Linked DNA regions of Oryzias latipes. The protein of the gene in region 3 binds, or shares a complex with, the protein of the main gene of each other region. Links are inferred from orthologs where the notes say so. Each region holds a gene or a part of one and is shown on either strand. Other genes may lie near its edges.

Region 1 (4,496 bases), on a different chromosome or scaffold from region 3:
TGGCCTCGACCAGGACCTGACATCCCTCTGCCGCGGCTGCCAAACACACCTACATACAGACACAAAAAATGTCAAATTCAGCAAGTTAGAATAATAAATTCCTAAACAAATAAAGATGATGTTTCACCAGATGTGTTTAAAAGCTTTAACAGAGGGATTTTTTACTTATTTTAAGCTGATCTAAGTCTCATTAAGGCAAATCATGACAGAACAAATGCAGAAGTTGCTTCCTCTCACCTCGGCCGGCTCCGCCTCTTCCTTTACCCTGCTGCTTATTCTGCTGGGCACCTCCACGTCCACGACCCTTAGAAACCACCTCATCCTTCACCATGTCAATAATCTCATCTGGAATTCGCAGATACTTGATGGTACTTCCCCTGATGTAGCACTCTGGCATCCTCCAAAACTTATCACCATCCTGTGGGAAAAAGACCAAACGATGAGTGTAACCAGTATACTTCAAAGGGTCTATGCTAAATCCCTTTTTTGAACTTCCCGGTGTATTATAAAGAAACCTCAAACCAGTATTGACCCATTCACGCATTTCTGAGAATTCCTCTAAAAACCTGTGCTCCAGGAACCAGCCACACCTAACCCACAAAAACAAGCGGGTTCTCACGAGCTGATGTAGATAAGTGAGAACAGCCCCTTCCAGGAAGAGTCTGCGCTGCCAGCCCCGCCCCCAGGCTAAAACACACACTCCATGAAGCTAGTGGTGTTTGGCAAAACTCTCTTTACATGCTCAATATGCACATTCATCTTTACGAAAGTTTGAATGTTGTTTGTTTCGTGGGCGAGACACAGACATGTTGTTGATGCTGGCTATAGGTTGACATCATGGAAGTGCCGGTGCCTCAGATCCAGTCGTCTTGCTTCCAGGTTGGAAAATAACTCAGGAAAATAACTAATATTCATTCATCATTTTTTAATTCATCTTCTAAACCCGCTTTGTCCCTTTTGGGGTCACTGGGCTGCCGGGGCCTATCCCAGCTACTCATGGGTGAAGGCAGGGGGCTTCCTGGACAGGACACCAGTCTGTCACAGGTCCACAAATCACTCACCCATGCACACTTGCATTCACACTTATGGACAATTTAAGGTAACCAATTAACCTACGAAGGTGGGAGTCCCCGGAGAAAACCCACGTATGCACGGGGAGAACATGCAAACTCCACACAGACAGGTTCTTTTTCAGGTCCCCCAGCCAAGTCTTGGACCTGGCTGGGCTTGCAGTTGGCTGGGGGACCAACAGCAACCAAGTCCCCAAAACTTGGCTGGGGGATCTTGCGCTAACCACTGCGCCACGTAACTAATATTTAATTTAAAAAATCTTTCTTTTGTGGGCCAAAGGTAATATATATATGGATATTCTTTACCATGAATGGTTTAGGAATAGCATGGTACAGGGCCTTTAACAATAATCAGTCCTTTTTCTTCTAACAAAAAAAATTAGCGTTGAGGTTTTTGTTCCAACATGTATCAAAGGATGTTTTACTAAAACCATTGCTTCATTATACATTAGTCTTTATATTTTAAAGGCTCACTTCAATTATCTTTTGATCTATTCCCAGTATTTTGATTTTGTTTTTTTTCATTATGCAGCTTTAAGCCAAAATGAAAAACTTGTCTTGTTTTCTAGGACAGTTTCTGCAGAGTGACAGAAGTTCATTAGAAATATACCTAAAAAAGCCTGCCGCATTTTCCAAGGTCCCTTTGTTTCCACTCTCCTGCTAGCTTACACACCCTCATACCCCCAATCTAACACCAAGTGCAAGAAAATTGGTGGGGAATGTTGAAGCTATACAGACGTACAGTTTAAAGCCAGATGCCAGCTCAGACGAGGAAAACCAAGACGTAAATGGATCTAATTGCCTACAAACTTTCTTTATATATGTCCGTCATTATGAGAAAAATGCCACAAAACATGTTAAAAACCAAACCAAACAAATACACTATTTTAATTGGGGTGGGTCTTTAAACGGCTAAGGTAGTCAGAATGAAAACTGAAGGAAACAGGTAAGCGACTGTTAAATTTAAGCTAATTTTTTTTATTTAAGGTGTGCAGTTTATGGATCGTTCTCCACTGAGAACATGAGAGCAAATCTGTTACCCTGGATGTGCAGATGACTTCTCTCAAGTTGATGTTCATCCAGTTGTCACAGCTAACCAGATGACCGTTGTAGGTTTCTCCATTCTTCAGTTCAACCAGCTGAAAAAAATCAAAGTTCATTGAAAAAAAGGTCAGCTGGTGATTATGGTTTTCTAAAAGGTTCTTTCTTTATTCAAAAAGAAATGCACAAAAATTATTGTTTAAAGAAAAACATGCAAACAATCTCAATAACAAAACAAAAAACCTGATCTTAAAACCACAAGTAACTGAATAAAATGGTTTAACCAGTAATCACCAGATAAGGAATAGAAGGAGGAAAGAAAAGCAATTATTTCTTACCATAGGATGGTTCTGGGCCGTCTTCAAAAGGGACAAGGGAAGCTGCGAAATAGTAGAAATGGGTCCGATTTATGATCTCTATGATATATTAAAATAATGCATTCTAAAAGGAATATTGATTCAGAAATGAAGAACACGTCTGAATGTATTTCTGTGTCGGCGGAGAAACTTAAGCTCTGTTCCGAACTATAATGATTCGTTTGTGTTTAGTTTAGTACTAAACGTGTATCTGAAATGGTGACCCCCCCCCCTTATATATTTATATAGAAAATAATTTTAAAAAGAACCACTTGTATAGTCAGCGTTCCACAAGCAGAAAACAATTTAGCATTGGTTGCTAGCGTAGCTTAGCCTTGATTTGCGATGTTTAAACCAGTTACATGGGATTTTTGAAGCCAAAGAACAGGTCAGTATTTTTATATAGTGTGTGATTTTTACAAAATAGTCCATTTGTAAGTAATAACTTACCATTCTGGTAGGTTATGTTTGTGCTGCCTTAGATTAGCAACACGATTTTTACTCGCAGACTCTTCTTCGTTTTCTACGTACTCGGTGCCACGTCTTATTAAAACATGACTGCCCCCTAGCGCAAAACATGCGCAAACACAGGAGCATTTTCTTTTGTTCTTTTACTGTGACGAAATTCAAAAATAAATACAGAGGACCAAGTGTAACATCTATCTATCAAACACAGGAGCATTTTCTTTTGTTCTTTTACTGTGACGAAATTCAAAAATAAATACAGAGGACCAAGTGTAACATCTATCTATCTATCTATCTATCTATCTATCTATCTATCTATCTATCTATCTATCTATCTATCTATCTATCTATCTATCTATCTATCTATCTATCTATCTATCTATCTATCTATCTATCTATCTATCTATCTATCTATCTATCTATCTATCTATCTATCTATCTATCTATCTATCTATCTATCTATCTATCTATCTATCTATCTATCTATCTATCTATCTATCTATCTATCTATCTATCCATCCATCTATCTATCCATCCATCCATCCATCCATCCATCCATCCATCCATCCATCCATCCATCCATCCATCCATCCATCCATCTATCTATCTATCTATCTATCTATCTATCTATCTATCTATCTATCTATCTATCTATCTATCTATCTATCTATCTATCTATCTATCTATCTATCTATCTATCTATCTATCTATCTATCTATCTATCTATCTATCTATCTATCTATCTATACACAAACATTTCCTTCAAAGCATAAAACCGCTTAATAATATCTTATAGCAAAATCCTGTGTCTCAAATTTCAGATTGTACCATTGCTGATTAGTTCGCATTAGGTATGAGTGTCTAGACTAAACATAATACAGTAATTTTTTCTTCATTTTCAGTGAAATGCATTTTTATTCCTTAAATTAGTACAGAATAAAATTAAAAAAAATAATGATGATAAAATGAGGATAATAGAGAAGAAAGAGAAGAATAATATTGAATAGATCACTGCCACAACTCCTTGTATTATAAAAAAGGAAAAGCTGGAATTTTGTTGCGTGTACATGTGACACAGTGACAATAAAATAAGTCTATTCTATTCTATTCTGTTCTATTCTATTTTATGATTAAGGTCTGTCTGGTTTTGGTAAAGTCTAAATAAATGTGACAGTGGTTTAAAAAATAATAATTTTTTTCATTACCAAATGGATTCATGTAATTGAATTACGTGAATCCTTATATAATTTGACCAACACGTTCATATTTTTGCTGGTGCAATTTTTGCAACAACTAATTTATAGCTTGGTACTTAATTAAAGTCTTATTTTATGATAAAACACAGGCAAGACAATTGGTTGTATTAAAATAGGATATTTGTGTAGTTTTTATTTATTTATTTTTTCTTTTTGTTTTTTCCCTAAGTTGACATTTCTCAGCCACCGTAGCCGTCATTCCGTTGATGGCGTCATTACGTTGGGTTTGACGCAGCGTGCAGGATGAGAGAGAACGGCAGGTTTCTTTTGATTGTGGGAGAAGGAGTCGTCAGCTGTGAGGGTCTCCG
Region 2 (4,304 bases), on a different chromosome or scaffold from region 3:
AGCTGCTTTAAGACAATCCACAAACCTCTGCAAAGGTCATTCTGTTGGCATGTTTCCTGATCTCAGTCAGCCCCAGGCGCTCTTTCATTTTTCGATACCTACAGAACAAACATAAAGGGCAGCTCAAACCAAAGCATTGACTAATAAACACATTCAATATCTCTTTCACTAAAACATTACATCTGTGATAAATTCAACATTTGTCACAATTATGCAGATTAATTGATTGTACTGCAGTTTAAGATATTACAAAATACTTCAAAGTAAACTAATTGGACAAAAATGAACTGAGTAGGGCTGTCCAAATAATTGTATTTCTCCATTTAGTTAGTTCTTTGTTAGACAAAAGTATTTCTATATCAAAGATGTTTAAAACAACAATTACATTGCAGCATATTTTTAAAAGAACTCTGGCAAAAGAGCAGTTTTTGAGAATTATAAAATTCCTTAAATAGTTTTGAAGCCATTGACTATATTTATAATACAAACAGAGGTTTTGATGAATTTACAGGCAATTCTATCAAATACTAATAACCATAAGTGACTGACCTCCTTCCTCCTCTCTTCTTTCTCTGTCCGTCCAGCGGGGCTGGCAGTGGTTTGACCTGCTTCACTGGTGGAGGTTCCTGCCATTTATCAAACTTTCTCTCTATTTCTTCTTTTAGGTCATAGCCAACCTGCATTACAAAGGGAGTTGAATAACAGAGACAGAAATTATATTTCTGAATGTTCCTTTAATTTGAGATGTTTACCTTTCCATCTGGACTCTCGTGGAAACTGTCTACTCGAGAAGCCAGAGTGCATTTCGCGGCCACCAGACGAGCTGCCTTCCTCCTAAGGTCCTGAGGGGGGAGAACAAAAGGGGAAAGGAGATAACTAAGGCAAACAAACATTAGATGTGGAAAAGGTACTTGTTATTCTTGAATATGGTGTACTGACAGGAGGCAATGACTGCACAACATCACAGTGGTAGATGTAGCCCGTGTGAGGAAGCAGCGATGTGCTACTGAAGCCTGACAGAGTTTTCCTTTGGGCTCCCAGCAGCATCAAGTTGCAGGCTGGCATCTTTGAGAGGTTTGTTAGGCCTCCAGCAATGCCTTCAGCCAAACAGGGAAAAAAATTCAAAAGTAAGAAAAAAAAATGTATGGGCATAAAAAAACTTGATATTTTCTAGATAGTTTCACTTCCTCACCCATGATCTTTGCTGCAGTCGATGCTCCCACAATGATTGACAGGTTTGGAGCTATAAAGGACATTCTGGACTCTACATATTCATATATCCTGTGTTTTGACTGGTTGAGCTCCAGAGCCATGTCACAAGCCTCCTCAAGCTGCTTCAGCTCATCTTCCGTTAGCAATGACCTTAAGAGGAAAACAATAAAATATATAAAGGGAGTGTCTATGTAAATAAAATAAACAACAGACATAATAATGGAAATGTTAAAAAAAAAAGTTTATTGTAATAGGACACAAGTACCAACATTCTTAAACTTACCCCTGTGTAGTTGATGCAGTGACACTGACGACCATAATGGTGGCATTGGTTAGAATTTGCTGCAGGGTTTCATTGTTTTTACATTTCTCCAGGTTGTTTCCCAATTCCTTTATACGAAGCACACATTTACAACAAAAAAAGGGGGAAGATTTAGAGGTTAGATGCAAAAAGAAAAAAACAAACCTATGCAGAATAATGGAAACCATTCAGCAAATCTTTTCTTTTAATAGAAGAAAAACAAAATCAAAAATTTGATATCCGGTAACTTCAACGTCTCCAAACTTATCTTTTAAGATCAACAAACCTTGACTGTGCGAATGTAATCTAAAGAATCTGGAACCAAAGACTCAAGCTCTGGAAATCTCTTGGAGTATTTGTCCCTTGTAAACTTGTGAATGATGTCTGAAAAGACAGGAGAAACACAGACCTCACACTTTCAGTTGAAAGAATCCAATTTCTTCATTAGGTTTTGTCGCACAATAAAAGTCCAACTCACTAAGCTCATTGTCAATTTCAACTGTAAGATTGTTGGCTGCAACAATCAGCCTGTATTCTGGGTCAGCCTCAACTGGTCCTGAAACTGAAAGAAAATACAGGTAAACAGGAGAAAAAGAAATGGAAGTAAATCAGTAACATTTTCTGTTAAAATGCACATTTTTTCAACACTCACCATCTGAATTCTTGCGCTGTTTTCCAATATATCCAGATATTTTTTCAATTATATCTGAAAACTGAAAACAAGCAGTTAAAAGGGACTGCCTTCAGGTAGTGAAAAAAAGGAACTCTTTATGAGAGTCAGCTAAACAAAGACCTGTTTGCTATTGCGGAGCTTGGCGATAGACGTAATGCTGTCAGTTTTACTGTAGTCCACCTCCATCTCTTCGGGGATATCTTCCAGTCTTTCTGTCCTCCCTGAAGCCCCCTCTCCATCACTCCCTCCTTCCTCCCCCTCTGGGTACAGCCCATCTTCCCCCTCATCTCCAGCTTCCTCCAGGTCAGCCAGAAGCTCGTCAGCCAATGACATCTGCAATCAGAGTAAAATTCATGATCCATCTTCTAACAATGCATCTTTCAGCTTAAACGAGAGTAAAAGTGTGGGCAGTTGTTAAATTTGTGTTTATTGCAATTATTTTCAAAAGGAAGTAGATCTAACGAAAGTCTATCAGTGTTATTTTTTATAAACATCCCGTTGAAAAAAACAAAAACTGATATCAGTCTGCTATTCTGTGTTAGCTAGCTAAAGTTAGCAAACGTTCACCAAACGTCATTCAACACTGAAAAATAGTAACTTACGTCGCACTTTCAAAATGAAGTAAAACAAAACAAAAATATATTTATATTTTTTTAAAAGTCACTTTAGACAGGAAGGGTTCTAATAGAAGCCAATATAGGTAATGCTACTTGTGCGGCTTCTTGCTCCTGTTTACAACATAAAGCTCACGATCCGGGTGGTTTGTCGCAGAATAAATACGTCACGATTTCCGCATGGGATTATGGGTAAGTATCCCCTTTCCTTAAGAGATGAGAAAATAACATACGGGCTTCTTTCTAAAAATGAATGTTCGGTCTTTATGAGTTTACTTGGTTGCTTTAATTACCTTCTCTTAAAAAATGTGTAGTAGGTCGCAACTAAATACATATTTATTCGAATAAGGAGTTACATTTCAGGCCACAAAATAAAAACACAGGTTTTTTTCTAGTATTCCGAAAATGACTTTACTATAACTCTTCTTTTATTTGTAGTTCTTAAAATATTGTTTTAAAAATATTTTTCTATTCTTAATTTATTTTATATTATTTATTAGACCCTTAAAAGCTACCTGTACATAATAGGAAGAGAAGTTAAAAAAACAACAACAAATAACTAAATAAATGACTAGTAAGTTTCTGTGACAAACTGTTAAAAAAAACGTATTCAAAAGTGATGGGACAAAGTAAGAACTTAAAAACTTTACATTTTATATTTAAATTGCGTTTTAAAATATTTACACACAAAATATAATACATACATGGCAGCAAAGTACCAGTCTTGCATTCAGGAAACTAGAGTTTGGTTAACTTTTTTTTTTTTTTTTTTTTACAACAATTTTAATAAATTATGATACTTCACCATAGCACACAAAAACTTTATAGAAATAAGACAATTACCTTTACAATCAAAATTTCATTCACAAAACAATGGGCCACAAATTCTTTATCAATGGACGTTTATGCTTTGACCAATTGTGGTTTCCCACTTTATTAGACTTATATTTATTAACTGTTCTATTTTATACATTTTATTCTGTAACTGACTTCTGCTTTCAGTAGAACATATTTAAATATTACTTCTAATTGACACAATATAGGGACTCAGAAAGGACCCTGCCCTTGCAACAAATTGGTGAGGTATTTGAACGAATGAACAATGACTGGGACATGACCCGTATTGGATAAGAGGCTCACATTTTGTAGTTTTTATTGTACATCCTCCCCTTTGAAACCCAGTTTTTAAACAATACAATTTTAAACCAACATTTAAACAGACTAAACAAATGGACTAGTTGGACCTCAGCTGCATGATTGATGGCTATTAGTAGAAAATGAAATAAATTAACAAATACACAAGCAAATGGTCTTATTTACTGATGAGCAACTGTTCTGTCATGCTAAGCTACATAAACGGTCATTAAACAAGATAAAGAATGACAAGACTGCTAATAATATAAACATGAAAATAAGGAAACATTACAAGACATAATTCAGTACAGTACAGATTGGCAAGTATTAACAAGTAAAATTATACAAAATAGTTCTTTTTTCCAGCAAT
Region 3 (4,331 bases):
AACTTTTAGTGACTTTTTGCTTTAAACATAAAACTTCAGTCACTGTATTTTTGTGTTGAAATCAATCATCCTAAATGAGAACATCTCAGTTTTCACAGAAAATAGTTAAACAAAGTTCCTCGAAATTAAGCCTTCCAACAACTGATATCTAATTCATTCGTTTCTAATTCAGACTATTTGTAATTAGTTTGACAGCACAAAGATCCCCGTTTTTTGGGGAAAAGTCCTATCATGAAATAAAGTTCTTTTAAGGTCATTTCCTGTTCTTTGTTCCACAGATGATCTCTATAGCAACACAAAAGTGTCACATAAGTCTGTTTGATGGGCCGTGTCCCAATACTGCCCCAGGCCACGGCAGGAAGGAGCATTTGCATGTGATGCTGGAGACTGGTGCATACGTGGAACTGCTATGATGCCACCTACCGGACAACTCTGGCAAGTGCACCCAAAAAAACAAAACTGGAAGTTGATTTGATTTAGACATAATCTCTAGTAAGTATCAACAGCCGCTGTGAGTCACTGCACTTCCTGTGACGTCTTTAACTGCCATAGCAAAATGATTTAATGCTGTAAAGTTTCAAAACAAACTCAAACATTTGAGAAAATTTCCTAAATATATTTACATGAAAGTCAAGTTTATTTTAATAATCAAACGTAAGATTGTTGACACTTTTATTCACAAAAATTCAAACAAGCTTCAAAACTGAATAAAACTGATGAGAAAACAATGAGACCAGTAGCTGGAATATCGTCCTCCTTTGCTGGAAAAGCAGAGTTTCTTCTGTTTGTCATCAACAAAACAAAAATACACAAAAAGGGTAAAAAATGGTTTAAAAAAAGTGAGAATCAGTATCTGTATTTAGTAGAATAATCCTTGGGAGAAACAACCAGACCCCGTCCTTTTCTGGCTCCTCGATACACCGTTTCTACAATGTCAATCATCTCCTGTTTGTCCTCCATGGGCCAGTTGATCTTGTTGTTGTTTCCAGTTCCCAAGTCAATCATGATGTGTTTGTTCCTGGAAAACAAACCAAAGGCAGGAGCGTTGGACATCATATATGATATGAGGACCTGTGTTCCAGTGATGAGGGTTCCTCACCTGAAGAAGAACATGACGGTGCAAGGATCGTACAACTCGTACATCTTGTTAAAGTCGGGCACTTCTGTGATGTCTACCAGGTAAATGACTGCAAAGTTCTTCACCTGAGAAGACAAAGGTGGCGGTTACTAGAACAACAAGGATCTGGACTTTGATTGCTGAAACCAAAGCTGTGACTTTAATGAAGGTTAAGGAACAGAAATTAATCTCCAAAACAGTCAATAAGATTTAGAGGAACATTAAAAACTAAAACTTCATTTTAACGATTCAATTCATATCATAATTTGTGGCTGCTGATCAGATTCATAATCGATATTTGTTTATTTTGAACGATCTGATTCTCTGGCCTAAGATCGATCCAGAACATCTTTATCCAAAACTTCAACCAGTGTGACTCAGAGATGAATACCTGGATACTGAACAGTACAGGTGACGTTTTCCAGATTCCTTATATTTCTTCAAGATAATCAAGTTTAAATTAATATGTGTACAAACAAACAAGTAAACCAGAATGAAAGTCAAATCCATTCACATTTTAGTTTCCTAAAGTTCAGTCCACTGTTGTTTTTCCACATCCAAAGAATCCTAAGGGAACAATATTACAACATTCTACCACACTGTCTGGTCACGTCTTTGCTAAATTCATATTGTTTCCACACATTGGACTGTTATGATGGTTGATCAGTTTTTGCTGACCTCACATGTGTGTTGTCCACCGTGATGCAATTGGTCGTTATTACATTACAGTAAAATAAACCTACCATGTCTCAATCCTAATTGTATTTTCCAATTTCAATTCTATTATCGATTTATCTCCTTTTGAAAGTATTTTAAAATGGTAGAGGCTGATTTGATGAGCTACTTGCCTCAGACAGATGGATCTGGTAGGTTCATAGGAAAAGAAATCGATTCGTCAATTAAGAATCAGGAAATTCCTGTTTTATCTGGAGCTTTTTGGCTGTTGTGGTGATGTTTTTCGTATGAATGTTTCTCCAAAACGCCATTTCTCTGTAAACCCTATGTATGTTGGTGCAGTGGGGTTTGTCACAAACTGCCGTCGTCTTACTGTAACCTGTGATTCAGTTAAATCTTCAGGTATGATCCTTCTTTCAGCAACTAACCAGAGAAGAGGGTTAAATCCTTAAATGAAATCTTTAAAGGATGACTGCAGACATTCAAACTGTTTTCTCTAACTGCTAAGCTTTCCTTACCCATTGAATATTTTCTCATGTTATGCATTTATTATCAAACTTGTTAACAGTCAAAAGCAGGGGGATTTGGGGACCAAAGGAAGGTGCAAATAATTTTCCCTTTTAATACTGTAACCAGACGAGCCCTTTTATTTTTCCATAGAAATTATGGTGCACATAAGAAGCTGATCAAACCTTTTCAGCGATACTATAAAGAACTTCATCCATCTTCATACACGTTGGGTCCCAGTCGTGTCCGAAGCGGATCACCAGAACTCGGTCTTCCTCAGACAGAATGGCCTGGTCCACCTGCCAGCCGTTATGGAGATGCGGTAGCATGTACGACATCTTGACCTAAAGATGGAGAATCCGAGACCGCCCCCGACCCAAAATTCTGAATGATAATGTTATCTTAAAGTGTTAAATAACCGCGGAGAAGAGGAGGTTGATGAATGCTAATGCTAAGCTAGCTGAAGAAAAATCTAGAAATCATGACAGCGAAACTTTAGAAGATGCGGAACCACAAACATGAACGAAAGAACCTTACCTTGAATTAGCAAAACTAAGTATAATGAAATAAAATTAGATTTCTGCTTAGATAAAATTACTTTGTTCTCTCAATAAAGAAAAAAAAATCTATCTTCAGCATCTAGAGCTCGTTCCTAACAACGTCACAAACTCGCGACGTCGTCGCAAAATGTCTACGTCAACATCCCACAAACCTATTCAGAGAAAACGTATTATTTTTTGTTCCTTTTTGTCCTATTTTATGACAAATCTAGTATTACTTTAACTGATGTTGACAAAAGTGAACAATTTAATAAAAACTACATGGAAGGCTTTAAATCGAAAGCAGGCTATGCGAAACCAGTTATTAAAAGAAAGATTTAGGTTAAAATGTCAAATTTAACAAGAAAATGAAACACTACATTCGGAAAGATAAAGGAAAGTAGAAAAATGTATACTTCTTAACACAACATCACCCCTTATATATTTCTTTATGTAGATCATTTTTCCCCTCTTTGTAGGATGAATAAGATTTATTCTACGTTGCCACATTTTCAAGGAAGAATTGATAGACAAAGCATTTTCACGTTTAATGTAATTAAAACCCCAAAAGAAAAATCATCCCATATGATCAATTTTTGGATGCCCTTGTTCCTCTAACCTTTTATGGGTAGAAATAATAGCTTCCTGTTAGGGATGCATGTGTACATGCACCACAAGTGAAAAACAAATGTTTATGGACTACTGCTTGCACAATTTTCAAAAGACAAGTAGCTGCACAGTATAGTTCATTAAGATTCAGTAAGTAAAAACGATTTTGACGCAAAAAAATAACTTGTAAAATCAAAACCCCCAATAATGATTTACCTTTGTATTTTCAATGTTTTATTCTCTTGTTGCTCCTTGAAACGAGTGTTACTTCCGTTTGAAAGTAGGCAGAGATACAGGAAACGGTTTTAAGCAGGAAAAAACACAGATAAAAAATTTATTGTGCAATTCATTACAGTACAAACAGAAAGAACGAACACAGTTCAAAGGTTATAGGAAAACTTTCCAGTCTTTAACATAGCAGCACATTATGGCACTCCTAAAGAGAGTTCAATTATCATTAGATACATCATTTTAATTTCCCCTTTAAGCTACACAGTCACATCTCTGTGGTTTTAAATGGACACATGATTCATAAAATCCAACTATGTTACACGATCTTATGTAGGACACATGATTGTTTTACAAACAACAGTGATAGTCAGCTTCCGGACTATCGTCAAACACTGCATTCACTCTTTAAAGCTGATAAAGACTGTTTTAAATTTGTTTTGGCTGTTTTTCATATTGCACAAAATCAGCCGTCTGGTCAAGTCTCTCAGCAGTCACATAGCGCTCAAACCCCCTTTCACCATTTTAAGATTTACAACTCCTCTGCAAAACACCCAGGTCTTCATAACATTTTGGATCAGACTCAAGGTTGCATCCTTTTGAGGCCAAAAGGCGGCTTGAGGAACATTCACGTTTGTCATGAAGACAAACAACTC
Region 4 (4,514 bases), on a different chromosome or scaffold from region 3:
GATATGCAATTTGCACAGCTTGATGTCGCAATAACGATAAATTTGCAATATATTGTGCAGGCCTAAATCATTAATTTTTATTCATTAATTTACCTTAAGTTCTCTCTTCCGGTTCTTTTCTCCAGATCCTTTGCTGCCACGGCTGCTTCTACTTTCCTCAAGAGCTTCAAAAAGACGTTCAACAAATCCACCAGCTGAGTCTTCGAGGAAGGGACGCAACTGGTCTGAGGACAATTAAGAGTCAAATGATTAACAATGTATTCAACAGTTCGTTGATAATCATTTCTTAATATAAGACCAGTGTTTTTCAACCTCTTTTGAGCCAAGGCACACTTTATCCTTGACAAAATTCCTGCGGCACACAAGCATCCAAAAATAAAAAAAAGGAGAAACTCTATAGTCTGTATTGATTTACAGTCCCTCCGCAATCACAGACATTTTTGTGATAATTGTGGCAAAAAAGCTGGAAGTTGCAGCAGTTTTTTCTAAAAGATGTAATAAAAGTTAAGTTAGTTTTCCGTAATAACTTTCAAATAAATTAATTGAAAATTTACCCTGGTAGATGTTTTTTCCCCTCCAGTTTATTAACATGCAATTTCATGTAACCTCACAAAAAAACAAATACATTCTTTCTAAATAATATACTTTTTACAATTTTTTTTCAATGTTGGTGCAAAGGCAACTGTAATTTTTGAACAGTTATATGATCACAATATGATTGTTAAGTTTTACACACCAAAACTAACATATTTATGTTTTCTGTAGCTACATCAAAAGTGAACATGTTGAAGTTTTATTAGTTTTTCTCTTGTCTTAATCAAAGATTAATTCTTTGAAAACTTTAACAGAAATGTTTTATTTCTTTTTAGATTATTAAATTGTTTCAATTCTGTTTGATTGTGTCTCTCGGCCACTTCAACATTATCCTATTTCTTACAGACCTTATAAGAAAAATGTTTCATTAATAAAGATGACTTGGACCAAACTCTGGGATGTTTGGATGTTATTAAAAAAACACAAACCTTGAAGAAAACTAAACTGTTGACCTTTGATTTAATAAAGAAGATTTAAAAACTGATGTGTGTTTGTTGTGGTTTCAAGACGTTTAACAGGGAAGACTCGTCCGCTGAGACGCTGTCACGTTAACCCAATGCATCATGGGAAATGTAGTGGAAAAAGCTAAATCAGAACAAGGAAGTGATGACTTTAACCACTTCTGAGAGGTCAGACTGTTGACGCAGGATTAAACCTCCAAGAATGATTGGTGGAGGGGTTAAAGGGGTGGGACTTTTCCAAAAACAGAGCTGAAGCTGCGGCTAACTCGCGGTACCGCCATTCGTTCATTCATGATCTTCTTCCGTTTTGTCCCTTTCGGGATCACGGGCTGCCGGAGCCCATCACTTGTGGGCGAAGGCAGGGGACACCCTGGACAGGTTGCCAGTCTGTCGCAGGTCACACACCCATGCACTCTCACAGTCACACCTAGGGACAATTTAGAGTTGTATGAACGGACAGGTGGGAGGTCGCTGTGGGAGGAAGCCGGAGGCCCCGGAGAGAACCCACGCATGTACGGGGAGAACATGCAAACTCCACACAGATAGGTCCCCCATTGATGTTCTGGTTCCCCCAGCTGGGACTTGAACTGGGGGCCTTCTTGCTGTGAGGCAAGAGTGCTAACCACTGTGCCAACGTGCAGCCTTATCAAAATGTCTTTAATAGAATCAAATAAACACAAAGAAAAAAGTATTTTACGATCTTTCATATTCCCAACTACTTAGTGCTTTCTTGGGGCCTGTTTGGATGAACACAGAGCTGATATCCTAGATTTGGTAAATGTTTTTAGATCAGTGAAAATGGGTAATATCACACGGCACAACGGTTGAAAAACACTATTAGACTAAGACCATTAGTGACTGTAATCATAAGCAAATGTTTACGGGAAAGCTAAAAGCACCAAACATTTGACAAACAAAAGAATCTCTTAAAATTTTTTACGAGTTTGTTTTTGCTTTATATTATAAGACTATCTTAATGTGCAACCTCAAAACAAGATGAATAAGAGACGCTTAAATTCAGAAATGCACAAGTAACTGTGTCATCAAAGATGGAATAAAACAGAACAAAAAAATGAAAATAACCACAACAGAATTAATTACTAATGATTGAAAACTTCTTTCTTCATGCAAATGAGCATGGAATTTACCCGTGGTCTTCCTTTTGTCCAATCCTTTCCCCACACAGTGTAAAGCTGCAGTGACCACCGTGGGCTCTGAAAACCCCAACACCTTCTTCACAGTGCGCTCCACCCACGGTCTCAACTCCTCCACCTCCCGCTTGGGAAGAGACATCCTTCTGCCCTTCAAAACACAGCACGCAGATGTCTTTTTTAGTTCTTGTTGGAACAGGAGTCCTATTGTTGACAAAGTTGATGAGTGAGAGCTACACAAGTGGCATTATTAATCACAAGCCATGACACAGAGAGACCCTCCTGCGTGTCAAAAATGTCGAACACATTTGAGGACAAGTTTGCCTTTTGTCATAAAAAATGAAAGTTAAGTTAACAAAATGTTGCTTCATATCAAAACATATCAATAACCAGACTAACCAAAATAGCAAACAAGCTAAACTCTACTAGCTACTTGCGCCAAAACTCATCGACCGCTGCTAGCACACGTTAGCATATTGCTACATTTGGGAGCTACCGAAATCTGCTAATAGCGGCTTAAAGGTGGATACAAACCTCTCAGTTTTGTCTACAATCCTCTTTACTTTAGATATACTCTAAATTACCCACAAAAAGAATCTAATTTCAAGGGTACAAATCTCTAAAGCCTGAACATTTCTTTCAAACTTTCTGATTAGCCGCTCCGTACATGTAACGTTTCTTCCACGAGACCCGGAAGAGGAAATGACGTAAATTCTTCTTCTCGACTTATCCTTCTCAGTCTTTTTACCGTGCTTTGTTTGATTTTCGCCATCTATGTCATTTCTCTTGCAGTTGTTTATGCGCTTTCATAAAGGCACTTTAAAAAATAAAAGTCAAAACCGCTTCTATAATATATTTAAAAGTGTTCATTAAATATTAGCAAAAATTCAGCAAGTCAAGGAAATTCACCTGACAGCTGACAACACAAAGGAATTGTTTTGTCTGTAAAGTCTTGTTAAGGGATTGAAAATGTATTTGCCTAGCTGGCCAAAGTTAAATTATGTGCAAATATTTTCTTCCATACATTTTTTGATTAAATAAGGCATATTTTATAGGAAATAGTCCAAAGTGAAACTTAAACAATCAGATTGCATGATATTCTTTCTTTTTTTTGATATTCTTTTTTTTGTTTCTTTTTTTTTATATTCTTTTTTTGTTTCAATTAAACTTGAGAAACGTTAGCCTATTCAATAAGTAGCTTGCATTTAGTAAGCAGAATACCTTTTTAAGGTACTTTATACTGCACATTTTATAATATATTTTACAATAGTAATTTCAGTGATAAAAACAATGTTTATTATGCATTGTGAGTGTTCTTCTGCATGTGTGTTATGAAAATTATAACTATTATTTATACAAATGAGCAATGCAAGTATTTGCATTTTAATTTCTGTCCTAGTAAAATGTAGTTGTGTTACCACAGATAAACACAAACATTTTTTAAACCACTGCTAACAAAATCTAACCAAACGTAAGAGAAAACTGTAATACCACAATATAGGAGATTTTTGCATTTTAAGACATGGGCAAATTTAATTGCAGTTCCAAAATGTAGTGGCATCATCTTTTTGTTCATGAAGTGAAAAGTTTCTTTGAATGGTAAATCACAATTTTCTGCTTAGGCTACGCATAACCCTTAAGTTCAGTCTTAAGTTAAACATTACTCAAGCACTGCACTTAGATACTCGGTCAACTTACAAAAAAAAGCCCCCCCCCCCCAAAAAAAAAAATCTTTGGCTTATCAAGTGCTTTCCTTCCCACTCCACTCCAGATCCGCCCCTGGGTGTCTATTGGTTTGCGTGATGTGGGTCAACTGAGTGCATTTGTAGTAGAGCGAGCCTGAATGAGCAGTGGTGAGCCTGAGGCTACCACACAGTGGCTCTTCTCTGTATAATAATCCATGTCAGTGCTAACAAATTGCAATTTCTTTTGTAAAAATGCTCTGCAAAGCTATTTACACTTACTAGAAAAATGTAATACATTAAAATAATTGTCCCAATGAACCTTTAAAATAGTGGTGGACAAAACTGTTGGTATCCCTCAGTTAAAGAAAGAAAGTCCACAAGGCTCACTGAAATGACTTTAAACGTTCAAAAGTAACAATAAAATTATAAATTCAAATTAATTGAAAATTAAATAATCAAAATCAGCCATTACTTCTGAGTTGTTGATTGACAGAATTATTAAAAAAAAAAACCTAATGAAATAGGGCTGGACAAAAATGATGGTACCTCCATGAAAGACTGAGAACTAATTGCCCAGGGAGTCATGATGAACTCAGGTATGTCCTTTAACTGACATCACAGTT
Region 5 (4,398 bases), on a different chromosome or scaffold from region 3:
GTCAAATGTACGGTAGATTGTCTGGGGTGAGCAGCAGAGGTTTCTAAGAGCTTCTTCCTGTTCTTCAGAGCCATCTTCTCACCAATTACCCATTTGCCCTGAGCTGCTGAGCAAGCAGAAAAACAGTGTTAGTCCACCTGAAATTCTCACTGATTCTCAGTGAAGAGCAGTATAAACAGGAAACAGTGTGAACTGAGCGTGGAGCCTGTTTGCGGTGCTGTCTGAGCTTGTTGCAGGATCTCTTCCATCACAAAGCCATGATGTAGCTGAGGGTGGAATGGGCAGTACCACTGCTCTGATCTGCCTCCCCTCCCACTGACAAATCCAGTATGAAGAACTGGATCGTCCTGAGAAGAGAGGAGGCGCACACCTGTAACCCTACAAACACAACGCGGAGAATAGCAGCCTCACAGGACCAGAGGCTGTGTATGACATCACAAACAGAACGTCTGCAACCCATTTAGTTACATTAACCAGTCTAAACTAGTGATGTTCAATAAATATAGTTTTTTCCCCAAAATAAAATAATGACGCAATAAATCACAACCGCTGCATCATTTTATCTTTACTTAAATAGCATTTTGCTTTTTATTTTCCAACACTTGGTTGGTATCCTGTATACAAGAAATTGTTATTTTTAATAAAAAAAATAATAATTGAAAAGCAATTTATTTCGTTTTTCTGCTTTTTAAGTCCACCTATTATAATTTTAGACTGTTATTAAAACGATTTCTTATCTTTAAATGCAAGACTTTGAAAAGAGTAATCAATGAACATAAAATAGCCTTTTTTGGTCTGTTAGTTTCAATTAATAAATCGATTAATTATTTAGTGTAATCATTAAAAATAAATATTTGAATAAACTGCAGATTACATTTTAGGAATATATTCTCTCTTAAAAGAATTTTAACGGTTTTCTCACTAACGGAAAGCTTCATTATGTGTAACTATTTACATTTCATTTCTCGTTTACATTAACATTTCGCATACGGAATATTTCTAAACAGACCCGTTAGACACTGAATTCCCAATAACAGCTTTACTACCACTCAAAACGCTCTGGAATATTAGTGTAGACAGGACAAATACCTCAAAATGAACAGATATTTATGAATTAATTTACCTTCTCGCTGCTCTGCGCGGATGACACGACAGTGTCCTGTGAGGACAGAAAGCTCTGGAAAACGCTAAAGGACGGTACTGGATAACGTTGCCAGGTTTGAACATACACGCAACGCGTCGAGAGAAAGGTGAATTTCTTTTCTTTATAGTTTAGTCTTTTCAGTTGTTTCAATTTAAAAGTGGCAGGGATGCAACAAGGAGATGTTTGTGTTGTATTTAAATTTTAGGTAAGGACTATGTATGGATTTACACATACTTTAAATTTAGTCTTTTAAGGATGGATGTTGATACCATAAGTTTTAATAATAAACATTTCACATTCTCAAAGTACGCATAGATATATATTGTAAACTAATTATTTGTATAAAATTCAACTTTGTTGAACTGGAAATCGAGGGATAATTCGAAACGCACGTGTGTGTTGCCGTTTGAAATCTTAATTTCACCGGACCTGGCAACCTGCGTACCGGAATCGACGCGCGCATGCTCGAACAGTATGGCGGACGAAGCTGAGCAGGTTAGCGGTTCTTTCGCTAATTATATGTTTAACCTTACAACGAACGAACAGAAGCCCACTTTGCTTCTAAAAGTGCAGACTGCGCTGCACGCTGCATTATTTTTAAAGTGCTTTAAGGTTATTACAGGAACGTTTTTGACCTGTTTGGGGCCGTGGAAGCGGCTAACCGAGTTAGCCGAATTATTAGCCTTGGTGTTCCTGTGTTTCAATTGAACGCAAATGTTTGGTTTGAAACACAGTTCATTGCTTTAGTGCTAACCAGGCAGCTAAATAGTTTATACAGGAAGGAAAGTTTGTGTAAAATGTGTGGGGAAAACAACAGCTGTAGCTCCAGCCGTCGAGGGCATGCATTCTGCTGTGTTCATTAAACGGCCTTCTTCTGATTCTGGTTACCTCAGGTGTGTTTTGCTAATCAACAGCAGGCAGACTAGGACACCTGCCCTCGAGGACTGAAACTTTACATTTGAGGTTTCTACTCTCTGAAACGCTTGGCGTTTCTGGCTGCCGGCCGCTCTGGGAGGGGGGGGGGCGCCTACCGCGGCCGGCTGGGGGGCCGGTCGCTCGGGGGAGCCTTCTCCCCCGGTTGTGCCCATCCGCCCGCTCCTCCCCGCTCTCACCCAAACAAATATTGCACACAGGCACATAGGGCCCCGGGATCTGGATGGGAGGGGTATGCTGGCGGGGCTCACTGGGGATGCCCCTCTCTGGGTTCTCGTTGGCACCCGCCCTCCTCCCCGCTTTTTACTTGCATATTAGACACTCTGATTCATCTAGGGCCTTGTGGAGAGGGTCTGGTGGAGGGGGGCACGGTGAAACATCCGTGCTCACCTTTCGCTGGCCCCCCCACAATTTTAACTTCCTCTGTAGACACACACACTGCATGCTAGCAGCACACACACAGCAAATACACACCACTCACAGAGGGACTCCGGAGTGGGGGGCTTTGCGGCTTGGCAGCGGTGGAGCCCCCCACACTGGTGACCTCCTATTTTACCTGCAGCACACACACAGCACTCCCACACCTCCATACATGGGTGGGGTCGGGGGGGGGGGGCGGCCGGTCTTCACCCGCCTGGTCCTCTCAGGGCGGCCAGGCTTATGGGTGTCCTGTCGGCTGCGGGAGGGGTCGGGCATGCGGCGCTGGGGGTTGGCCGGCTGGGGGGGGGGGGGGGGGGGGGGGGTTACTGCTTGGCGGCGGGGGTAGGGAGGGTAACCAGATGATTGTGAGTATGTGTGTGTGAGTGCATGGGTAGGACCGACCTGGGGGCTGGCTCGCTGGGACCCTCTGGGGCTTTCCCTCCCAATCACAGAGAGGGGAGGGCACTGAGAGGGTTGGGGAGGGGGGGTCAGATATTATGGCGGGGGGGGGGTTGTAGTGCGTCGGGTTTTAGGGGGGTGGCTGTGGCTGCGGGTGCGTGGCGATCCCTGGGTTGCTAGGGTCGCGTGCCTGGGCTGGCTTGCGGGGACGGGGCGCTGGTCGGGTGGTGGCCGGCTCATGGGTTCCGGGGCCCTGGCTTCGTCCCTGGCCTTTGTCTCGGTGTCCGGCGCCCGGTGGCCCCCATGGCTGCCGCCTGGTACGGCTAAGCGCTCCTGTCTTGTGGCCTGGGGGCCGGACACTGGGTTCGCTTGTGCCTCTGGGCATTGGGGGGGCCCCTGTAGGGGGGCCCTCTCTGTGCCTGGCTGGTGGGGTGGGCGGTCCCCTCCTCCTCCCCTCCCGGGCTGCCTGGGTCCGGATGCTGGGGGGGCTTCTGGCCTGGGGGGCTCTCCTCCCCTCTCCTGGTCTGGCTGGTCTGGCTGGGTAGGATCTGGCTCCCTTTATGAACACACGGTTCACGTCGGCAGCATGCATGTATCTCCACCCCCACGTGCACGTGCACACTGCCACACTGCTCCCTGTCTGCTTCATCCCTCCTCCTTACCTACAGTGTATTGATGGACAGTTTTTTTTCCGCTCATCTTAGTGTCAGATTTTGACCTTTGATGTAACATTCGTCTTTCCAGCAGATCTGGTATAATTGTTACAGCTTAAATTAATAACTTAGTCAAATCAGTGCTTGTATCCCCCACCTTTTCACCTTTCTTCCTTTTACTCTCTTCCACCCTCCCCTCACATTCTTCCCCTCTCCCTCCCCACACACACTAAATGTAACAAATAAATAAAAAATAATACGACAAAAAGGGGTTTATACAAATCTACACTCTAGTTTCTTGAAGCTATATAACCTCTTTTTGTGATAGTAAAACCTGTCCAACACAAAAAGCCTTCAGCTCTAATCTGTTTGCTCAGAAGTTGGACAGAACAAGTTAGAAAAAAAAAAAAAAAAAAAAAAGATTAGTAAGCAAACTGACTTTCATTCTAATCACAAGGTTTAGAATTTTTAGTCACCAAAATGTTTTTTTTTTGTCTTTTATTTTTATTTTTAATGCTATACTCTTAATTTAACAGTTCAAACACATTCACACAGGTTACCCAAACGCCAATACATGTAATCTGCCTTCACTTGTTTTGCTGAAACCCATGAGATTAGTAATGCTTTTATATTAAACATATATAAATGTCACAAAACAGTCGTTTTTGGTGTCTTAAATGTAGGTTGGATGTTTCAACATTTTATTTTGATTGCTGAATTAAAAACTGTGAATCACAAGTTGATTTCTGTGTTGTCAAATTGTGTTGAGATGGGAAAAAAAGTAGTATTTTCATTCTGGTTCAGCAGACTCTCAGCGGCAAAGACTTTAAACTGAAGTTTTGTTTTTCT
Region 6 (4,304 bases), on a different chromosome or scaffold from region 3:
CATATTTCATATATAAAACAGTCAAACTTAGTGTGTTAGATATTACTTTAAACTTTCCTTGATGTTTTTATTCATAGACATTCCAGTGAGAACATCAAAAACAATAAAGTAGTGGTTTTGATTGCCTCATCACTGAACTTACTCCAAATGTTGTCCGTATAAACTTTGTAACTACTTAAACTTCTTTTATACACAACAAATACTTAATCTTAGCATTTCTATTTTTCTTGTCTGATAGGTTTTCACAAATACATTGTCACAATCAGAAAGTGTAAAATATCATGCGCTTTGACCTCAACTGAATCCAACAATGTTTGCAGTTCTTTGCATGTTCTGCTTGTTCCACGGTCTTCTGTGTGGCATTCATTCTTGGCGTTGTTTTGCTGGCTGATGAAGTTTTCTACTGTTCCAAATTTTAATTTGTCTTGATTTTAGTGCAGCTAATGATGATTAATCAAATGCTTTGCTCTGCCCTTTGTGAGTTGTGTATCTCTGACACAGTTTAGGACTTGTTTAAATCCAAACTATGTGAATAAATGTTAAAAGCATCCCAGCAAAAGAATGCATCCAGCTCTAACTGGATTTCTCCTGGTGGCCTTCTCAGCTTATTAAACATAAGTGAGCTCGATCAATTGCTCACTTGTTTTTTTTTTCTCACTGTTTAATTGCTGAAGCCATAGAACATCCAGTTAGGTTGTAACATTGTCCGTCTAACAGGTTTATTCTGCAGATTCAAGCCTTTACAGATTGTCCAAAGGTACTAAATGTTTCTTCAGCTGAAACAGGCATGTGACTTGACATTTCAGGTCTCAATAATAACTTCCTCTGACTGCCTTATTCTAAGTCCTAACATTTGCCTATAAACAACCCTTACTAATTATTGCTCTCTTTGCCAATGAATAGCAACTGGTGCAACATGCAGCAAAAACGTAATATGCTAAACTCTTCAGTTCTGGGATAAAAAATTGTGAATTGATCCAACCGGTGTTGACATAAAAAAAAGTAGTTTTGAACTTTTTATTTTATTTTACAGGACTTAAATTAGAATGTAATGTCTTGACATGTGTCCTGCTTTAGAAAAAAGCCGGTTAAGAGTTTAATGGTTTGAAAACAGTAAACAGTTCTATTATTATTATTATTATTATTATTATTATTATTATTATTATTATTATTATTATTATTATTATTATTATTATTATTATTATTATTATTATTATTATTATTATTATTAACAGATTTTCTAAATTTAGCGCGTTTGCTACTTAATGCGATTTCGATATTTTTGACAACGGCCGGCTACCATAGACTGCACGTATATGATTGGGTAGTTCGCGGGTGTCGTTGAAAACAGTCGTTTGCTAGACGTAATAGCAGGTGAGTGGAATGTAAACCAAGCCATTTACCTCTGCTTGTAAAGCAAACATGCGTTTAGCCTATTTACATTGCAGATACAATTGTTTAGAAAATCTTAAAGAACCTCCGGCATTATCTCTACAGACATTAGACAGTTAACCCCGTCAGTAGCCAGATGGTTAGCTACGCTAGCAGTAGCAGCTAACGTCTCCCGCTTGCTCAGTGATTTAATTTGTTCATTGATGCTTATTTCTGTAGTTCAGCACGTGGTTGGAAAAAATGAGAGTTGGGCTTTTTATGTGGTATTTTAGCGGAAATAAAACATCGTTTTTTATGTATTAAATCCACGCTATTAAACATAAAACTAATCATGGAGGACGATGGCGATGCTAGCACAAGAAACTAAAAGGCTAATATACAAAAACCTTTATTTTTCAGATCAAGCAAGATGAGTATGAGAAAACAAACGCCGAGTGACTTCCTTAAGCAGATAATTGGTAGACCAGTGGTGGTCAAACTAAACTCTGGTGTGGATTACAGAGGTAAAACACCTGGCGTGCCAGGCTCAGCCGCACGGTTCTCCTTTATTGTTATTTCTAAATGTCTGTTAAGGAATGAGACTTTAACCAAAACTTTGTTCCTGTTTGCTATAACTTATGCAGGTGTTCTGGCCTGTCTGGATGGTTACATGAACATCGCCATTGAACAGACAGAAGAGTATGTTAATGGACAGCTCAAGAACAAGTATGGGGATGCCTTTCTGAGAGGAAACAATGGTAAGAGGTTACATTTTTACAATAAAAATACTGATTAAGCCTTCTGCACATAATGACGTTAGTCAAGGGGGTATGCCTTTAGATTATATGTTTTAACTTTACACTGAATAGTAGGTATGCATAGTCAGTTAAATAACCCAAAATCATTGGTTAATGATATTTGACCTATTCATCATAGTTTTAATTTATTTTTAAATACAGCGATGTATGTCTGAAACATGCAAATATGGTGAAAATATTTACATTGCATAAGGCATGCCTAAGAACTCATTTAAAGAAATTGGAATTATTGGTCAAGTTTAGGTGACTATGGTAGAGAGATGTGGTTTGGAGTTGTTTCTTTGCAGAAATGATTAGGTAAAAGTAGCCTAATCAAATAGATTTAATGCATGTCTTAAACCAGGGGTCGGCAACCTTTACCACTCAAAGAGTCATTTGGAGCCGTTTCCCACAGAAATGAAAGCACAGGGAACCGCAACACAAGGGGTGTTAGAAATAAAGCGTTTTGCTTTTGAAATGTCGCAATAGTTCATTTGACAATACTTGTATTGATTCAAAATGCTGTCAGGATATTTATTTAATTATTTATTTTAATTATTTATGAGCCTTATGTTTCCTTTGATCTTTTGTCCATTTTACACAACCTTGATCTTGTGCCCCTACGAGATTACCGCTGACTGTCTTTATAGAAGAACTTTCCATCCCATACCAGACTCTGGTCAGTATTCACATGTGCAGACACGCCCCCTCCGCGTGCTCACGCTGCGCTCTTCCTCCTGACCGCTCGCGCTACCCGACGGTGTTAAAGGCTCTACAACAATCTTAGAACATGATAGGTATTTTACAAAAATACAGACAGTCGCAGCACAGGGATGAAAGCGGCTCCGGAGCCGCAGGTTGCCTACCCATGTCTTAAACCAACAAAAAACTATTTGGGGAGTATTAGAAAAAAGTTGACAATTTTGCTAATAGGAACGTTTCAAAGTGATAGAAATGAATCTTAACAATTTTAAGTGCATGATTGATTTATATTGGTTTAACCAAATGGACAGTAATGACACAAATTTTTAAAGGTTTAAGGCAGTACGAAGCAGGATGATCTATAGGTGTGACACAAAAACGATCAGATGCAGATTGTTTAGGAGGCAAACGAATAGAATGGGCTGGCTAAAATATCTTTAACCTCTTAAGACCTGATGTCCACATGTGCGAACATCACATATTACCACAGTTGTTAATTTTGCTTAACTGGGGCCCTGTGACTATGTGTAGAGGGTTATCTCAAATATTAGCTCGGGTCTTAAAAGGTAAAACTATCACCTTCCCAGTTTATCTGAGTTTTTTCTTTTGCATATGGAAAATATATTAAAAAAAAGACTTTGGATACATCTGTAAATGGCATTTCTAAAACTGCAGTAAATAATTTCACTTTACCTTTAAAAATGTAAATTCTTTCACTAACTTATACCATCTGCTGTGAGATTTCATCTTTAGGTACACAAAATCTGTGTTTGGGGAATATTTGAAATTTGTTTGAAATGTTAACCACTAATGGAGAGCTAGCCTAGCATATTCTGACACAACACAATCAAGGAAACCTTACATAATGATGTAAGCTTTCTCTTTTTTGTCCTTTTATTTTCTAAAGAAACACACTTTATTCCTATGTGTGGACAACACAAAAATCCAAAAAAATTATATAAGGGCAATACCAATGTTACTACTTCATCTGCAGAGACAGCCTAAGCACTAGAGGTGTGTATTGGCAAGAGTCTGACGATACGATGCGTATCCTTATATAGTACCGGAGCACATTTTCTTTCTTTTTTAAAAAGAAAATGACTTAGAAAAATATCTGACTTAATTTCAATATGTCTTTCATTGTAAAAAAATGGTCAAATTCCATTTAATGATCACAATGTTGAGCACTGCAACTGTATCTCATATACAAGTTGCTTTTACCCAGGCAAATTCAGAGTGCTTTTATTTTGGTAACATAAAATATGGATAGGGAACATTCAACATTGTCTGATTTCCACAACAAAATATTTTTCAGTATAAGAAAAAAAAAGAATGAGTGAGCCTTAACCAACAAGGTTCTAAAAGTATGATTGAGGAATAAAGTGCGATTTTCAATATTGCTTAATGTAACTTCTCCGGTTCTTTTAAATGGTT
Region 7 (4,442 bases), about 8.6 Mb from region 3:
CCAAACAGAGATCTTCAATAACAAACATAAGTTTTTACAATGATGTCAAAATTCAAAGTGGATTTTCTTTATTTTATTGGAAACTTATGTGGGTTAAGAGCCAGCCCATCTAAGTATTGGACAAAAGGTTTTTACATTTGCAGTCATCAACATCCACACCATCCACCAGAGGTGGATCAGCAGTATCTGGAACATCATCAACAATAAGTTGAGATGTAATCAGTTCCAGAAACTGTGAAAAAAAACCTTATCAACCTATTTCAATCACTTATAGGAAAAGTGAAAACTAATCAAGCCAATTAAAGAGCCAAATATTACAAAGAGAAAAAAAAAGATTTATTCTTCTTTGATGCCAGTAGAACAGCTACATTTTCAGCCAACTTTGCCAAAGACACAAGAAGGTATAAAAAAAGCAAAAAACAGATGACATTTTTACCCAGTTTAAATGCTGCTCAGACATTTTATTCAAGATGGTACAAATTATGAATCAACAGCATCCAAAACCCCCTCGCGGTCTTAAACAACCCACGAGTATAAAAAAGAAAAACAACCCTAAACTTACACTTAGATTCACTTTGCGTCCACCGCGCAGTACAATTAAAAGCTGTACAAACAGTTGGGGCTCTGAAATCATCTCCGTGGTCCACCTCGCCCTCGTCCTCTTCCTCTGCCACGGCCCCGTCCTCTGCCTCGCCCCCTACCAGCAACTGAGAACAAGAAAGGCCAGATTCTTTCACCATACTCGTGAAAAAAAAAAGTTTTAATCAGCAGAACAAAACATTTCTCAAAGAAATAAACAGCAGATTTACACACCCATGATGAATATAAATACTGTTGAGGGATTTCTTATCGCAGAAAAATCCTTCTCAACTTAATACAATTTTCCAGGTAAGAATGTGCCCAAATCTCCCACCTGCTTCTCTCTTCTTGGACTTGATCTTTGGTTCAATGTCGACCAGCAAGGTGTCCAGTGGAAGACTGTCTGGCAGGATGAAGTAGCGAATGTTGTTGCCTCGGATACTCAGGGACTCCAGCTGAGTGGGTTCCCTGTTCTTTAGGGTCATTTTCACCGCCTTCAAGTGTGTGTTCATGCTTACATCAACACCTATTAAAAAGAAGAAGAAGAGGATTTTAAAAATGATTTAGTTCATTTATTCGTCTCTAAAGTGTTTGCTCTCACCTGTGATGGTGCCATGGACCTGAGTGCCATTCTTCAGTTCAATGGTAACGGTCTCATGACTGAGCTTCATCAAAAACCTGTGTGGACACGGGAGAGTAGCATACATTTACATTTACTTAACCTTTAAGAGTTGTTTTACTGCACTATACTTTACCAAACATACCATTTTGTAATCAAAAAGCAGTACCAGTATAATGTATCTACACTTCAGGGAAAGAATCATTTTCGCAAAAAAAAAAAAAACATGATTTATTGTCATCCCACATGAAACAAAAAAGGTTCACGTGTTTTATTCTTACTCAAAAGTGTATTTTTCAAAAACCTAGAATTGGCACATTCATTTTGGTTTTCTGAATCCAAAAGGCACTTTCATTTAAACGTCAATGTTTTAAAGTGACAATACCATGAAAAAAAATACACTAATAACATGCTGACCTTTAAGCAGAACTAGAACAGGAAAATGTTAATCAATAATTGATTGGTGGACTTTAACAAATTAAAAGCATCATTTTTATGTCTGTTCATATTCACAAAATACAAATGAAATAAACAAAATGTCAAACATAAAAAAAACGAGGGAAATAAACATACTGTGATATGCACCATTTCATACAAAAACTGCATTTGATCCCATACATACTGGATAAAATGGAAGACTTTAAACTCCATTTTCAGATTCACATTTTTTAATGTTTTGTATGAACATTTATGCGGACTTTTTGTTAGAAATAATTGTTGGTAACGTTTTCTGTTAATCATAAAAATATTTTGATAAATTAAATACAATAAAAAACCGCTTTATTAGAAGGTTGGCACCATTGCTGTAGAAGACTTTAATGACTAGATCCATCTTGAATGATCAATTAGCCAACTTACTGCTTTGCACAAAGAAGACGTCTCTCTCTCACAAACATTAGACAGCATTTTTGTACAACACATAAGATTTAACGTATAAAATTGTACAAAATACCCCCCCCCCCCTTTTTGAATGTATTTTTTTTTTAGTATCTAAACAAAACTCGTGTTAGCTCTTAGCTTGTTAGCTTCGGTGGATTGATACTGTTGTGTAAACTGAAAACAAAACATTTGTCTCTTAAGTTGTGGAAATTAAAAACATCCAAAAATAAATACAATTAAATAATGATAAAGCACTTTGAGGAAACGGAAACAACATCTAATAAATTAACCTCCTTTAGTACGATAGTTTTAATAATGCGGGGGGAAATTTGCAAAACCATAAATGATAACGAATCAGCCTCGATCTTTTACAAATATTGCTAAAACAAGCAGTTTAATCCTTGATTAAATAGTTAGCTCTAATGATATGTTTATATGTATTTTTTGAATGAAAACCCAGCAGCCTTGTTCCCGCCTCTCCACACAGTTCATTTGTCTATCTGAACCCATCCGGCCACACAGCCTTTATTTCATCATCCTATCTTAAACCAGTCGACACATCTACAGACCATGCAGCAAATTACCTGACTAGTTTCATGACGAACAGTAGAGAAAAGATCCTCCACCGACGAGAAAAATTACAGCGATCGAGTGAAATCACAGGCCGCTGATGTACCACCAACGTTTGTGTCGCGTTGATATGACGTCAGAAAGAGGCCACCGCTCACCGTCAATGTTGTCTTACCGCCGCCTGGTGGTGAGATGAAGAACAGTCAGTGGAAAGACAAAAATGAGTTGTTTTCTCTTACTCATTGGGTTGGTGGCATCTAATATTCCTTTACTGTCTTTATTTAATTACTTACCAATTACTTTAATTATTAACTGTTTTTCTATGTGTTTTATTGTTTTTTCCATCTAATGCTGTTTTTTTCCCCTCTCAATCTACTCAATTTTAAATGTTATGTTAATGTAAGCCCTTTGGCACCCTGATGCCATTGTATGGTGCTAAAAAATAAAGTACCAGTCATTTATTCATAGATTTCTATTTATGTATTTGGCATTTAAAATTATTAATGGAAATGCCATTTAACAGAGAAACTTTTTTCTTAAATTTTGTTCTTATTGGCCCTTTTTTTGAAGCAACAAAAACAAAACATCTCTGAGAGAACTGCTTCAACTACGAATACTGTTCTGTTTTTATTTATGATCAAAAAATTGTCATAGGAATTTATTCAGGCATTGTTTGCAGTACCGTGAAAAAAGAGAACACAGCACACTGTGGTTCACATTCAGCCAATCATAATTGACCCGATTTGGTAGAAGTAGGCTTTGTGATTGGGTGTCTTCATGTTGGCATCACATGTACATAAAAAGGCAAAGACAGTAAAGACAGAAAAGAAAAAAAAATAACGATTTACTTCCTGATTGATTTCATTTTTTTACCTTTTCACCAACTTGCTCGTATTTAAGGTTATCGATTGATAGAGCTGTTACTTCCAGTACTTGATCAATTTTCAATACGTAACTGTATCCTTTACATCCTTACAAAATACACAAAAAGCTGGGAACCATTGATCTAGGAAAGAAGACAAAAAGAACAAAGGAGCAAACTTTCAGATCTTTTTATTGAGAGTAAACTTTGCATTGATATTTCATTTAGAGTTTTGGCCAAACAGCAATACTTTTTATTTATTGAGACAAGCTGGGAATGTATCAAGTGAAACCTAAAGAAAGTGCAAATTGTTGTATTTAAAAAAAAAGAAAAAAGAAGGTATTTGTGGAGGGAGGATTTAATCAAACAGTGTGGAGAACAAATGCCACCACAACATTCACCATCAGTCCAAACGTGAAAATGCTGAAAAACCCCCAAACATGTCCTCTGCATGCTGCCTGATGAGTGTAGCACGACTGCAAAAAAACAAAAATACAAACTTCCCATTCAGGGATAATAAATGCTGTATAATAAAAAAGAAAAACACACACCAGTACAGTTCATTGAATGAAATCATGGGCAACACATCTGGCTTCAAACTCAAACCACCACCCATTTACTACAGTAGAAGAAATTCAACACCAACTTAACTCCCTTAAATTAATATTCCTCTCATTCCAGCACCAAATCGCCTCCTACCTAAAGGCAGTGATTCAGCCCCCTGTAAACATTGTGGGTGAGTATTAAGATGTGAAGATCTACAACGTTGAAGGACTGTTAGAAGTCAAAGGTCAGGTGGTTTATAGTGTGAAAATGTCCTTCAAAAGCAGCTTCAGGATTGCTTCAAAGTCAGATCAACCGTTTATCTTATGATCATCTGCACAATATCTTCTTTTTTCACCGTCATCTTTCAACAGAAACGTTTGTAAAACA

What was found.
Region 1: txnl4a (region 3) and lsm4 share a complex: the UniProt entries of both Homo sapiens proteins name them as parts of the precatalytic spliceosome. The link is inferred for Oryzias latipes from reciprocal best matches to the Homo sapiens genes TXNL4A and LSM4.
Region 2: txnl4a (region 3) and prpf31 share a complex: the UniProt entries of both Homo sapiens proteins name them as parts of the U4/U6-U5 tri-snRNP complex. The link is inferred for Oryzias latipes from reciprocal best matches to the Homo sapiens genes TXNL4A and PRPF31.
Region 4: txnl4a (region 3) and prpf3 share a complex: the UniProt entries of both Homo sapiens proteins name them as parts of the precatalytic spliceosome. The link is inferred for Oryzias latipes from reciprocal best matches to the Homo sapiens genes TXNL4A and PRPF3.
Region 5: txnl4a (region 3) and lsm3 share a complex: the UniProt entries of both Homo sapiens proteins name them as parts of the precatalytic spliceosome. The link is inferred for Oryzias latipes from reciprocal best matches to the Homo sapiens genes TXNL4A and LSM3.
Region 6: txnl4a (region 3) and lsm6 share a complex: the UniProt entries of both Homo sapiens proteins name them as parts of the precatalytic spliceosome. The link is inferred for Oryzias latipes from reciprocal best matches to the Homo sapiens genes TXNL4A and LSM6.
Region 7: txnl4a (region 3) and snrpd1 share a complex: the UniProt entries of both Homo sapiens proteins name them as parts of the U4/U6-U5 tri-snRNP complex. The link is inferred for Oryzias latipes from reciprocal best matches to the Homo sapiens genes TXNL4A and SNRPD1.

Annotation. Positions count from the first base shown.
Region 1 is NC_019862.2:13,834,261-13,838,756, forward strand, and holds the start of lsm4 (U6 snRNA-associated Sm-like protein LSm4), read right to left. Parts: upstream 3,041-4,496; 5' UTR 2,921-3,040; coding exon 2,918-2,920; intron 2,492-2,917; coding exon 2,450-2,491; intron 2,210-2,449; coding exon 2,111-2,209; intron 419-2,110; coding exon 238-418; intron 50-237; coding exon 1-49. UniProt on the Homo sapiens protein: Plays a role in pre-mRNA splicing as component of the U4/U6-U5 tri-snRNP complex that is involved in spliceosome assembly, and as component of the precatalytic spliceosome (spliceosome B complex).
Region 2 is NC_019874.2:19,364,123-19,368,426, forward strand, and holds the start of prpf31 (U4/U6 small nuclear ribonucleoprotein Prp31), read right to left. Parts: upstream 2,962-4,304; 5' UTR 2,789-2,961; intron 2,520-2,788; coding exon 2,307-2,519; intron 2,227-2,306; coding exon 2,166-2,226; intron 2,076-2,165; coding exon 1,992-2,075; intron 1,898-1,991; coding exon 1,800-1,897; intron 1,603-1,799; coding exon 1,496-1,602; intron 1,363-1,495; coding exon 1,193-1,362; intron 1,098-1,192; coding exon 940-1,097; intron 843-939; coding exon 753-842; intron 678-752; coding exon 550-677; intron 99-549; coding exon 26-98; intron 1-25. UniProt on the Homo sapiens protein: Involved in pre-mRNA splicing as component of the spliceosome. Required for the assembly of the U4/U5/U6 tri-snRNP complex, one of the building blocks of the spliceosome.
Region 3 is NC_019869.2:14,391,532-14,395,862, reverse strand, and holds txnl4a (thioredoxin-like protein 4A), read right to left. Parts: upstream 2,984-4,331; 5' UTR 2,837-2,983; intron 2,644-2,836; 5' UTR 2,638-2,643; coding exon 2,485-2,637; intron 1,204-2,484; coding exon 1,100-1,203; intron 1,019-1,099; coding exon 847-1,018; 3' UTR 656-846; downstream 1-655. UniProt on the Homo sapiens protein: Plays a role in pre-mRNA splicing as component of the U5 snRNP and U4/U6-U5 tri-snRNP complexes that are involved in spliceosome assembly, and as component of the precatalytic spliceosome (spliceosome B complex).
Region 4 is NC_019874.2:18,946,540-18,951,053, reverse strand, and holds the start of prpf3 (U4/U6 small nuclear ribonucleoprotein Prp3), read right to left. Parts: upstream 2,917-4,514; 5' UTR 2,741-2,916; intron 2,358-2,740; 5' UTR 2,349-2,357; coding exon 2,204-2,348; intron 225-2,203; coding exon 94-224; intron 1-93. UniProt on the Homo sapiens protein: Plays a role in pre-mRNA splicing as component of the U4/U6-U5 tri-snRNP complex that is involved in spliceosome assembly, and as component of the precatalytic spliceosome (spliceosome B complex).
Region 5 is NC_019863.2:18,333,385-18,337,782, forward strand, and holds the start of lsm3 (U6 snRNA-associated Sm-like protein LSm3), read left to right. Parts: upstream 1-1,535; 5' UTR 1,536-1,618; coding exon 1,619-1,639; intron 1,640-4,398. UniProt on the Homo sapiens protein: Plays a role in pre-mRNA splicing as component of the U4/U6-U5 tri-snRNP complex that is involved in spliceosome assembly, and as component of the precatalytic spliceosome (spliceosome B complex).
Region 6 is NC_019859.2:18,489,312-18,493,615, forward strand, and holds the start of lsm6 (U6 snRNA-associated Sm-like protein LSm6), read left to right. Parts: upstream 1-1,286; 5' UTR 1,287-1,374; intron 1,375-1,791; 5' UTR 1,792-1,801; coding exon 1,802-1,895; intron 1,896-2,015; coding exon 2,016-2,129; intron 2,130-4,304. UniProt on the Homo sapiens protein: Plays a role in pre-mRNA splicing as component of the U4/U6-U5 tri-snRNP complex that is involved in spliceosome assembly, and as component of the precatalytic spliceosome (spliceosome B complex).
Region 7 is NC_019869.2:22,965,500-22,969,941, forward strand, and holds snrpd1 (small nuclear ribonucleoprotein Sm D1), read right to left. Parts: upstream 2,808-4,442; 5' UTR 2,676-2,807; coding exon 2,662-2,675; intron 1,258-2,661; coding exon 1,181-1,257; intron 1,106-1,180; coding exon 914-1,105; intron 708-913; coding exon 631-707; 3' UTR 59-630; downstream 1-58. UniProt on the Homo sapiens protein: Plays a role in pre-mRNA splicing as a core component of the spliceosomal U1, U2, U4 and U5 small nuclear ribonucleoproteins (snRNPs), the building blocks of the spliceosome.